2 linked regions of the Neodiprion lecontei genome follow. The protein of the gene in region 1 interacts with the protein of each later gene in a pairwise test. Links are inferred from orthologs where the notes say so. Each region holds a gene or a part of one and is shown on either strand. Other genes may lie near its edges.

The links. The genes of interacting proteins can lie anywhere in the genome.
Region 2: the proteins of peripheral plasma membrane protein CASK (region 1) and ATP synthase subunit s, mitochondrial interact in a two-hybrid assay, tested with the Caenorhabditis elegans proteins (3 studies listed by BioGRID). The link is inferred for Neodiprion lecontei from reciprocal best matches to the Caenorhabditis elegans genes lin-2 and C05C8.1.

Annotation. Positions count from the first base shown.
Region 1 is NC_060262.1:31,566,636-31,571,574, forward strand, and holds the start of peripheral plasma membrane protein CASK, read left to right. Parts: upstream 1-1,926; 5' UTR 1,927-2,395; coding exon 2,396-2,454; intron 2,455-4,939. Other genes in the region: uncharacterized protein LOC107218162, read left to right, coding at 61-232, 464-549, 912-1,107. UniProt on the Caenorhabditis elegans protein: May play a structural role in the induction of the vulva. May be required for the localization of signal transduction molecules (such as let-23 receptor) to either the basal membrane domain or the cell junctions.
Region 2 is NC_060263.1:27,341,174-27,345,819, forward strand, and holds ATP synthase subunit s, mitochondrial, read left to right. Parts: upstream 1-1,804; 5' UTR 1,805-2,112; coding exon 2,113-2,127; intron 2,128-2,459; coding exon 2,460-2,548; intron 2,549-2,814; coding exon 2,815-3,023; intron 3,024-3,209; coding exon 3,210-3,372; intron 3,373-3,613; coding exon 3,614-3,722; 3' UTR 3,723-4,092; downstream 4,093-4,646. Other genes in the region: vacuolar protein sorting-associated protein 13C, read left to right, coding at 145-288.

The sequences.
Region 1 (4,939 bases):
ATCGAAAGCAAAATAAAAAACCGTTCTGAATTTTTTTCAATACAGCTTTTTATATTTCAGAAAGAAATCTGAATCGGAAGAAAACAGCAGCGCCTCATCCAACTCTGATTCCGACACACGTCCACCTTTTCGGCATGCAAGTAGAAGTGTGTTATCTAGACTTGTCCAGTATACTTTTTACTCTGTGATAAATACAGGTGTGGTGATGGACCAAGGTGTGACGGCTGCTGCGGTATTATATTTACCCATTCTTTTCACTTTCAAATTTTTCCAAACTGTTGCTGTGACCACTTTTGACTCATATTTTTCAAAAACTAAGATGTATAAAAGATTCAGGATGAAAATGATAAATTTTTTCTAAGAAGCACAATTGGATTGGTACCGTAATAAAATCGTATACCTAATTTATATTGTCAAGATATTTCTGTCCGAATTGATAAAAGGAATGTTTATGCTTTCACAGCTTTGCAGATCATTTCTCGCTCTCTATCTAAAGCTAGACGAAAGCAACGTTCATTCGAGTCTGGTTGATTCATGGGATAGAGCAGGGTAAGGTTCTGATAATAATTAACCTGTTTGTATGCTAACGAGTGAACAGTTTCAAGTTTTGTAACAACATACAACGACAGAACAATTTGGTATTGCCAGTATGTATGATACATAATACGTATGATTGAAATCCCTCAAATAAAAAAACTATGCTTATAACCTGATATTATTTTTGTTCCCATTTAAATTCCTATTTATCAATACTCAAATATGGTGTTCCTTGCATTCAAATAGTTGAATATCACCTGTTTTTATCACACTAGCAGCGCTTCTATCGATTCACAGTAACTGAAGTCATGCCTGTTCTATCAGATCTCTTAAGCGATATTGAGGGGTTATTATATGTTTTATTTTCATTCTAGACAGAAGATAACAGTGTTGAAAGGGTATAATCACAAACACCTCGTATACCTGGCAAAGAAAGTACGTCATGTAGCTGTTGAATCAAACACTTTATACAGAACAACTGGTCAGGCCAGAGTAATGCTGGTACTAACAGCGTTTGGCCGAGAGGAAGATATGGAAGAAGCATTTGACGATCTGTGTTACTTACATTGACGTCCATGTAAACAACTTGATTTGTCGGCATAGATGTAGCGGGCAACTTCACTGCCACAACGTGACATATCTCTTTGACCGTGTGTGGCTTATACTGTGTGTCAAGTCATTAGAAGCTATGTTACTTATTTAAAGAGCCTCAAAGTCGTTTTGGACAGAAATTCAAGTCTAACAAATATTTTGAATAAATAATAACGAATCAATACAGGGTTGCACATATCACGGTTTATAAATTCGTCTCTGTTTTTGTTTTTCCTAGTTTTTCTTACCGCAACGTAAACGCAACAGCTGAAGTATATCTTGTTCTAACACTAGTCTTTCAAGCATTACGAATTCACAGCAGCGAATCCGTATACGTACCTAACCATTTGTCGCTCAAGTAGAGCTAAGTAACTAATTTTAATATTATCAAGTTGTTGTCAAATATGCGTACTTATACTTATGCATAGACGGTATCACGTACAGAGTCGGGAGCTTTTCTACGCTTGTTTGCATCGTTGATGGGAAAATATTGTCAATTAACACGTATGCGGTGTTTGACATATTCCGCGATGAATTTTGAATTCGTCCGTGATACGAGCAGGGCTCACCGTGGGTCGAGAAGGCAGTGAGACACGCCCCACCACGTCGATTTTGTCGGCAGTCCGCTTGCGCGCGCTCCGCGCGTTGCGTAGACGACGGCAGGCGCCCAGGTTTCGGTGCCGAAACGTCGCGCAGCCGCCCTGCGCCCGCCGTGTTTTATGCAACCAGTTTTGCGTCGGAGCAACGGGTTGGTTGGTGTGGTTGGGTGTCGAGCGCTGCAGCGTTCGGCGGAGAGCAGCGGGGTTGTCAGAAAGGCGTGTGCTATCTGTCACGGTCCTAGTAGCAAGTAGGATTGCTGTCAAAACGTCAGTGAATGGAGGCGCGTGTCCTCCGGCCATTTTCGTAGTTTCAAAACCGCCTGACAAAAGTGTGAATTCCGCATTGTGCTAAAAGGCGGTGTTTGCGTGTGCGCTCTCGCTGCGTTTTGCCCCCTTGTGCTCTCCGTGCCGAGGGTGGAAAAATAGGTTGGTGTACGTGATAAGTGACAGTGAAACGAAGTAACGGACGAACGAACGAACAAACGGCTCGCGCCGAACGACCAGCCTACGATCGCTGCCAACTACCGTAGGACCAGACTCCGCGAGGAGGCGAGGCGAGGCGAGGCGAACGCCGTGGGCCACTGCCCCCTCCTCCCCCCCCCCATTCTGCTACTACCACGCCGTGTTGAACGGAGGCAGCGGGCTTGTCGGCCGGCATAGACGAAGTCATGGCAGAGGATGAGGTCTTGTTCGACGATGTTTACGAGCTCTGTGAGATTATCGGAAAGTGAGTAAACTCGGGACTCTTGATTCTCATCGGAACGAATAGAGAATATTCTACTCCCTCACATTAACCTAGTAACGGTCAACGGTTCGAATGTTTGTCCGCTGACACACTGCGAGCGTTTTCGTGTCCACGATTGTATTTTGTTTTTCAACTTTTCAGGTGTTTACTACACTCTTTACCCGCCGAACGAATTTCGGTCGGTATTCGAATGCGATACCGAAATTTCGAATAGGCACACTTCTATTATCATTGTTTATAATTTTGTCACACTTGAACCTAACCTGATTGACGGGCGTTTCGTCAGCGTGATCTCACATTTCCAGGTATACGTGTCGACGACGCACACACGGGTGTTTACCTACTCTTCGAAATGCTTATTACGGGAGTATGTGTGGATAGCCTGACTTATATCAGGTGTAGTTGGCCATCTTGTGTTTACTTCAGCCCGCCAAATTCAATTATCCGTTATCAAGACTAGTTTATTTTCTCTCTATCACCGTCAACTTCAAAGTGGAAACGATAACCTCAGTCTTCTATTTTCCAACGACATTTTAACGAGCAGTTGGAATTTGCTCGTTTTAAACTTGGTACTATAAATTCCAGGTTCACTGATCGTCTCCTTTGCATGTTACACAGGTGAAATTTGTCCGGAACTATGTAAGCGCGCGTCAGGGTTTCGATCTAGCGTATTATCTTCAACTTCTATTTCATTCTTTGAAAATTAGCATAGGCAGATTATTTCATGCATATAGACATACCTAGTCCACAGTACCTTTATTCACGTACATAGGTATATTATTATACATACACGGACTCATATGCTTGCATGTATGTATCAGGTCGGGAGACGGGAATGTGTTTGATATCGATTATTTTGTCCCGAAATATATCCACCGAACAGGAAAGGGGAAACGAATATGAAAAACTTTTGTATTACCACATATGCCAGTCCTTGGGTTTTACCGTTTCCGAGTCAAAGTTCAACCATAAAGTTTTCTACAGATTAAAGCCCAAGCATAATGTTTTAGACGAGTATCAGGCAACACGTGACGGACGAACAAAATGTTATACACCAACGATTGCCAGGAAAGTAAACTGTGACGGACCTTTTACTCTTCTTACCTGAACGTCACAGCGTTAAAATGCGCCACGAAAAAGTTAACAGTCCTTGACGTGAGTTGACAGTTGAATTTATGGTACGACCGTCGAGTTGAGCTTACTCTGGGTCTTTGTTGGTCTACATTGGACTCTTATTCAAACAATCCTGTGAACAATTCTTAATCTCCCAAACTAGATTGAGCTGTGGCGCTGTGGATGCACTCTCTAAATATGAATTAGTTATAAGTATACCACTGGAGAAAATCATTGTGCATACACTGGAAGTCAATGACACATTATCAGGCTGAAATTGGTGACGTAACAAAACCTTAGGCTAACAAGTCGACATTATCGGGCAATTTAAAAATGACTTTCAAGGAGTTGGCTATTCAAAATTAAAGTATATTTTGTTTGTAATAGTTTACTAAGTCTCAGGCATTCTTAAAAATGCGGATTAGCGATTTTTCTTGAACATGCATCATTACAGTAACGTTAATAACTTCACCCTGTGAAGTATTAGTAAAAACTCACTGAATCGTCAGTGCATATGTACTGATTTTTTCCAGTCGTATACTTATGATTGGGAATCAGCGAATTTTCACTGATTCAAATCCAGAGAGTGGGCTCGGCAGAACTACACTCACGAGCAGGTATAAGGGTTTTATTATCGAAAGAAATTTGTGCACTACGCAGTAGTATCTGTATTACTTCATAAATCTTTTAAGCATTTTATGATTTAATGACAGAGAATATTCGTCGTGTGCGTTGAAACTGTACGACCGTTGCATGTGAGTTACATGAATACTTGAATGGTTCGAGTCAATTTGCTGTTCGTCAATTGAAACTAACCTTTAGCTGGTCATACCTAACATACCTTGCGGTCATTTGTGACGTAAAGGTTTGTAATCTTTAGCTGGCACATTTATCTGGTCTAACATTGCTGGTACCTTGGGTCGACTGTAAAATTTAAAATTATTCTTGGGATCTTTTTTATCTTGTAAAAGACACTTAGGTGAATACTCAAAAAAAATAAAGTTCACATATTAAGTTGCTTCATTACAGCAATCAATTTTCGATCGGAGTCTTCAATGACCCCAAGGTGCCAGCAATGTTATACCAGATAAAGGTGTCAGCTAAAGATTGAGTGAACACACGTTAGATATGCAGATCCAGTTAGACGCAATCGACGAACGTTTCTTTATACTTGGTCTATTTTTTTTTGTTCTCCTTAGAACGGTTCGTTCCATCGATCGGTAATGCGGTTCAGAGTCTAATGATAAGTCAACCAATTTGATCTTCAACCTTCGGTATAACTGGGTACCTACAATTATATATTTGATCATATTAATACATTGCTCGGCTTACTTTATTCCTCCCACTCAGGGCT
Region 2 (4,646 bases), on another chromosome or scaffold:
AAGTAAGATTGTGGGATTGTTCAGAGTTTAATACACTTTGCCATTATTTATCTTTTCTTGTATCAAGGAAGTATTTAAAATTTATCTACACGGACGTGAAAAAATTGTCACCAATAAGTGACAACATATTTTTTCCAATTTCAGAATGACACCATACCAAATTCACAGGCAACGGATTGGTATATTGAAAGCGAGGATCAAGTAACACTGGAATGGTTGCACTGCAAGATAGAAACTGTCATGATACTGAATATGGAAAACAGCACATGTCTCGACAGTAAAATATAAATTTATATATGTTACATACATAATAACTGTAATAAATGGATGTATATTTTAATCAATCTTACGAAAAAGTAAATAAGATTGTCATTGCAGAGAGAAAAGTACATATAAACTAAAAGTATTATGATTTCATTGTAAACACACTGAATTATTTATTATTAACTTCGGATGAATCTTGGCTTTGGCACAGTAATTAACGAGAGACATTTTCAGATTGAGGCGAATGTTGCATTTTCGAATCTCTTTAGCGATGATATATTTTCCTGGCATTGTGATAAACTTTATATATATATATATATATATATATATGTGTTGAAAAAAAAATTGAATTTTTCGTTCCCAATAAAAACGGTAAATGAGAAATACGCAGGTCACAGTGACTGCTTCAGTAAAATTATGTCCTTACAAAAAAGTTATTTTATGATGATCAAGACTACATAGTGTAACATAATGTGCTCACTATCTTTTCTCACTATTGCTATCATTTCGTTACTAATAACAATTTCCCCACTTTAAACAGCACATCTAACGGCACTTGTATGTTTCGATGCATTTGTCAATGTGCCTGGATTATTATTATTATTTGCATACCGTATTTCAACAAATCAAAAATTAGGTGTTATTTTATCCTCAAAAATCATATTCCAATCATGTAAATTACGAACTCCTGTCCTGGTTCTAATAAAAATAAAAGCGAGATCGAACCGAGCTGCCTTGTATTCCCTGCCTCTTTGTTTTCATTGTAGACCTGAATAATGCAAAATGATCTCACTAGCGTCACTGCCTGATAAGGAATTATTTGTAAAACTTCTCTAGAACATTGTAAACGACACCGTCAGCGCTTATTTACTTCAGTCAACGCCGTTGGAAACATGGTAAATACATTTCCATCATTGATGAAGTATCTTGACACTTGTTAGATGAACAAAAAAGGATGCGCTTGATTCTAATTACGAACAGTTAGAATCATGGTGATTTGAATCTAATTTATCATAATCTTGGCATAGATATTTGAAGAATAAAAAATTGAAGAAGAAACAGATTTTTTGCAACACCTGCATGGAGAGTCCATTTTTATGTACCATTTACAAGCACCGAAAGTAGTCTTTTATACACTTGTGCGGGAAAAACTTTCGCACATTGCCGGCGGTATAAGATAAACCTTCGCACATTGCTAGCGGTATGCGAAAAAGACGGTCGCACTTTTATCCATAGTTGCGCATTTCGTAAACAGCTGCACTAGCGCCAACGACGGAATGGTTTGTCACTCTTTGCCGTGCTCGACATCGTCACTGAACAGACATCTTGCCGTGGTTTCGTGTAAATATAATCGTGTATGTCGGACTTTCCATTACAGGTGTAGAAAAAAATAGAGTTCGATACTAGTGCGCGAAGGTGGCAATGCCCGCACAAGCGTGAAGGCGCAGCACGAGCCCGGAGACGAGTTGGAGGTGAGTCGAAGACGAACCGTAGACGAGTTGAAGGGCGAGTGTGGCGCCTTCACGCTTGTGCGGGCATTGCCACCTTCGCGCACTAGTATCGAAAAACACTATTATTAGATTTATAAATCTCACAATTACTTGAATTTGAAATTCTCAAACAGATTTCCCGCCCATTCGGGTCGATTATCGACAACGTTACGCTTCTCGAATACGCCGGGCATTGCAGTCAATTGTCAATCTTGCGTTCGTCTCAGTCTCTGAATTTCGTTCTGTCGCATACAAAAAGCTACATTCACCGGAAAATATAATTGCGATAAATAAAAATCGACATACGTAAATATTTTGCAAATAAGATATTTAGAGTTGTCAACAAAGTACGAGCACAATGGCAACACACGCGGTATGAAGCGCTTTGGTTTTTGATAAAATAAAAGACTGTCAATGTACCGGGATTTTTATCATGCTGACTGCGACAAACGATTTTTTGCGCATAATTTTATTATATATATATATATATATATATATATATATATATATATATATATATATATATATATATATATATATATATATGTATATATAATGAGTTTTCTTTTATTTCATATGTTGCATGTATTATTGTTCAACCTATATTTTAGCTTGACAAGACTACTTAATTACTGTTGGGCTTAATTTGGCACGACACATTTTATTGTTTTTTTCTGTACTGGGTGCCATATGTGTATGTTTCAGATCATAAAGAACTTTCGTTCATCGCTGATTCCAGCACAGTCGAAATCTCATAGATCGTTTTTTTATTGGATTACAATCATGTTCAACAGGTAGAGACATCAACAACTATTACTCAAGTCTTTAATCATTTATAAATGAATATGTTATGAGGTAATGCATGGAAGTATTATACAGCATATATTTGATAGATTTCAAAGAAGACATGTTAGCAATGTAAGCGTCCATCAATAACTTTTTTTACGTATCAATCGATACATTCAATGGAATTTTCTTTTATAGCCAAATTATCGTGGTGCTGAATGTTTACCTTGAGAGAATGACATATAGTTGAGTCTCAAGAACTGGTTATTTAAAGGGTGGATGAAAATCGAGTTAAGGAAGTTGGTCCAGACCGAGCCTGTGCGGAATGGCTATTAAGAAATGGAGCTGCAGTCAAATGGAGAGAGGATGGAAGTATTCTTTCAGACTACAATGCTCTTTCTTCGTTGGAAGAACCTCAGAAACATATTGAAGCAGTTGATGCTACCAATTCTGCTATTAGCTATCATGGATTTCCACATTTCAGTAAGTTAATCAATATTTGACGATTGCTTCAATACAGGTTTCCAAGGCTATGACTTGGGAATTATTTTTCTTTCTGTTTCACTATGGTGAACATATTCCACTTATGCAGGAAGTAAGAGCACTTATGTTTAATTGTAATGAAATTTATCATTTTATTCGACACTATGTGATCTTATTGAAATTTAGACGGATGCAATTACATAAATGAAGTCAAGCTAGTCAACTGTGTTTACGTCGAGGATCCAGCAATTCCCCTACTTTCTATACTCAAAAATACCTTGAAGCATCTTGAGATAAGTAACTGCCTTAATATTTCCGAGAAGGCTCTATTCGATCTGAATAAACTCACGTATGTATTCACTTTACTTCAAATTATGCCGAAATTGATCTCTTGTAATCCTATTTTTTGTAGAAAACATCCCATGATTTTTTTTATTGTACCTTCATAATTGTGAATCCTATTTTCTTCACCCCAAGTATTTATCAATGCTCGTCAGTTACAAGAAAAGAAAGAATTAACCCTTATATCACATGAGTTGGATCTAATATGATCTGGAATACTGAGAATTCATTTATTTTTTCGTTTTCAGAAAGTTGAAGAAACTGAAGCTTGGAAATTTGCCGCAAGTGAAGAATAAAAGTGAAGTTATAGAAAAGCTTACCAAGTCTTTGCCAGATTGTAACATTGTCTTTACATGAGATTTGTCTGTGTAACAAAATTTACTTTACAAATGTTTATATGTAACTGTAGAATACGTAGATATAAATAAATCATCGTAATAACTACTATCCCCCAAAACAACTCAGGTGCTAAAACCTTGCGCTAAGTATGTAGATACAAACATTGGAGTGAAAACACCGACAAAAATTTACTTTGCGATTCGAGAACCACCAAAATAATAAATCACAAAGATTTATTTCGAAAAATGATGAAATAAATTCTGACAAAGATACCTTTACGTACAGAAAATATTGAAATCAATCCTTACTGTTAAGTACGCAACTTTTTAAAAATAAGAAATTACGAAAATAGTGGATTAGGGATGAAATAAAAAATTTTGGAGCTTTTGTTGTACTTTGCATTTTTTTAGAAGAATATCTAAATCGTTGGCATTGCTTTCGAAAAATAATGAGGTTTCTAACTGCAAAATATTTACGTACATGGCTGGATTATCTGACAATGAGCTACACACGTTAATAATCATCGAATGAAGGGTATCAAACAAGTTTCAAATATCTAAAGTCTTAATAAATAAGAAAGGTCGTAGAAGTTTGGTGAACTCAAATATGAAGTTTGATTATTAGATTGTGTTTATTTATCAAGCAAAGTAGATTTGCAGTCTCAGTCGCGGATACGAATTTACAAAAGTAAAGTTAAGAAAAAATTTGAAACACCTACTCATTGTTGGAAATGGTGAACGGAACTGGAATATGAAATTTCAATTGTTGATATCATTTTTCAAGTCAGGTATAAGATATTCAGTCACACCGGCGAATATGAATAACTAGAGTAAAGTGAAGAACTAGAAAACTAAAAAATAAGAGTATAAAATATCTTTGAATCACGTCTTAACAAAGTATATGTGAAAAAGCGAAAGATGAAGTAAAATCCATCCGCCGACT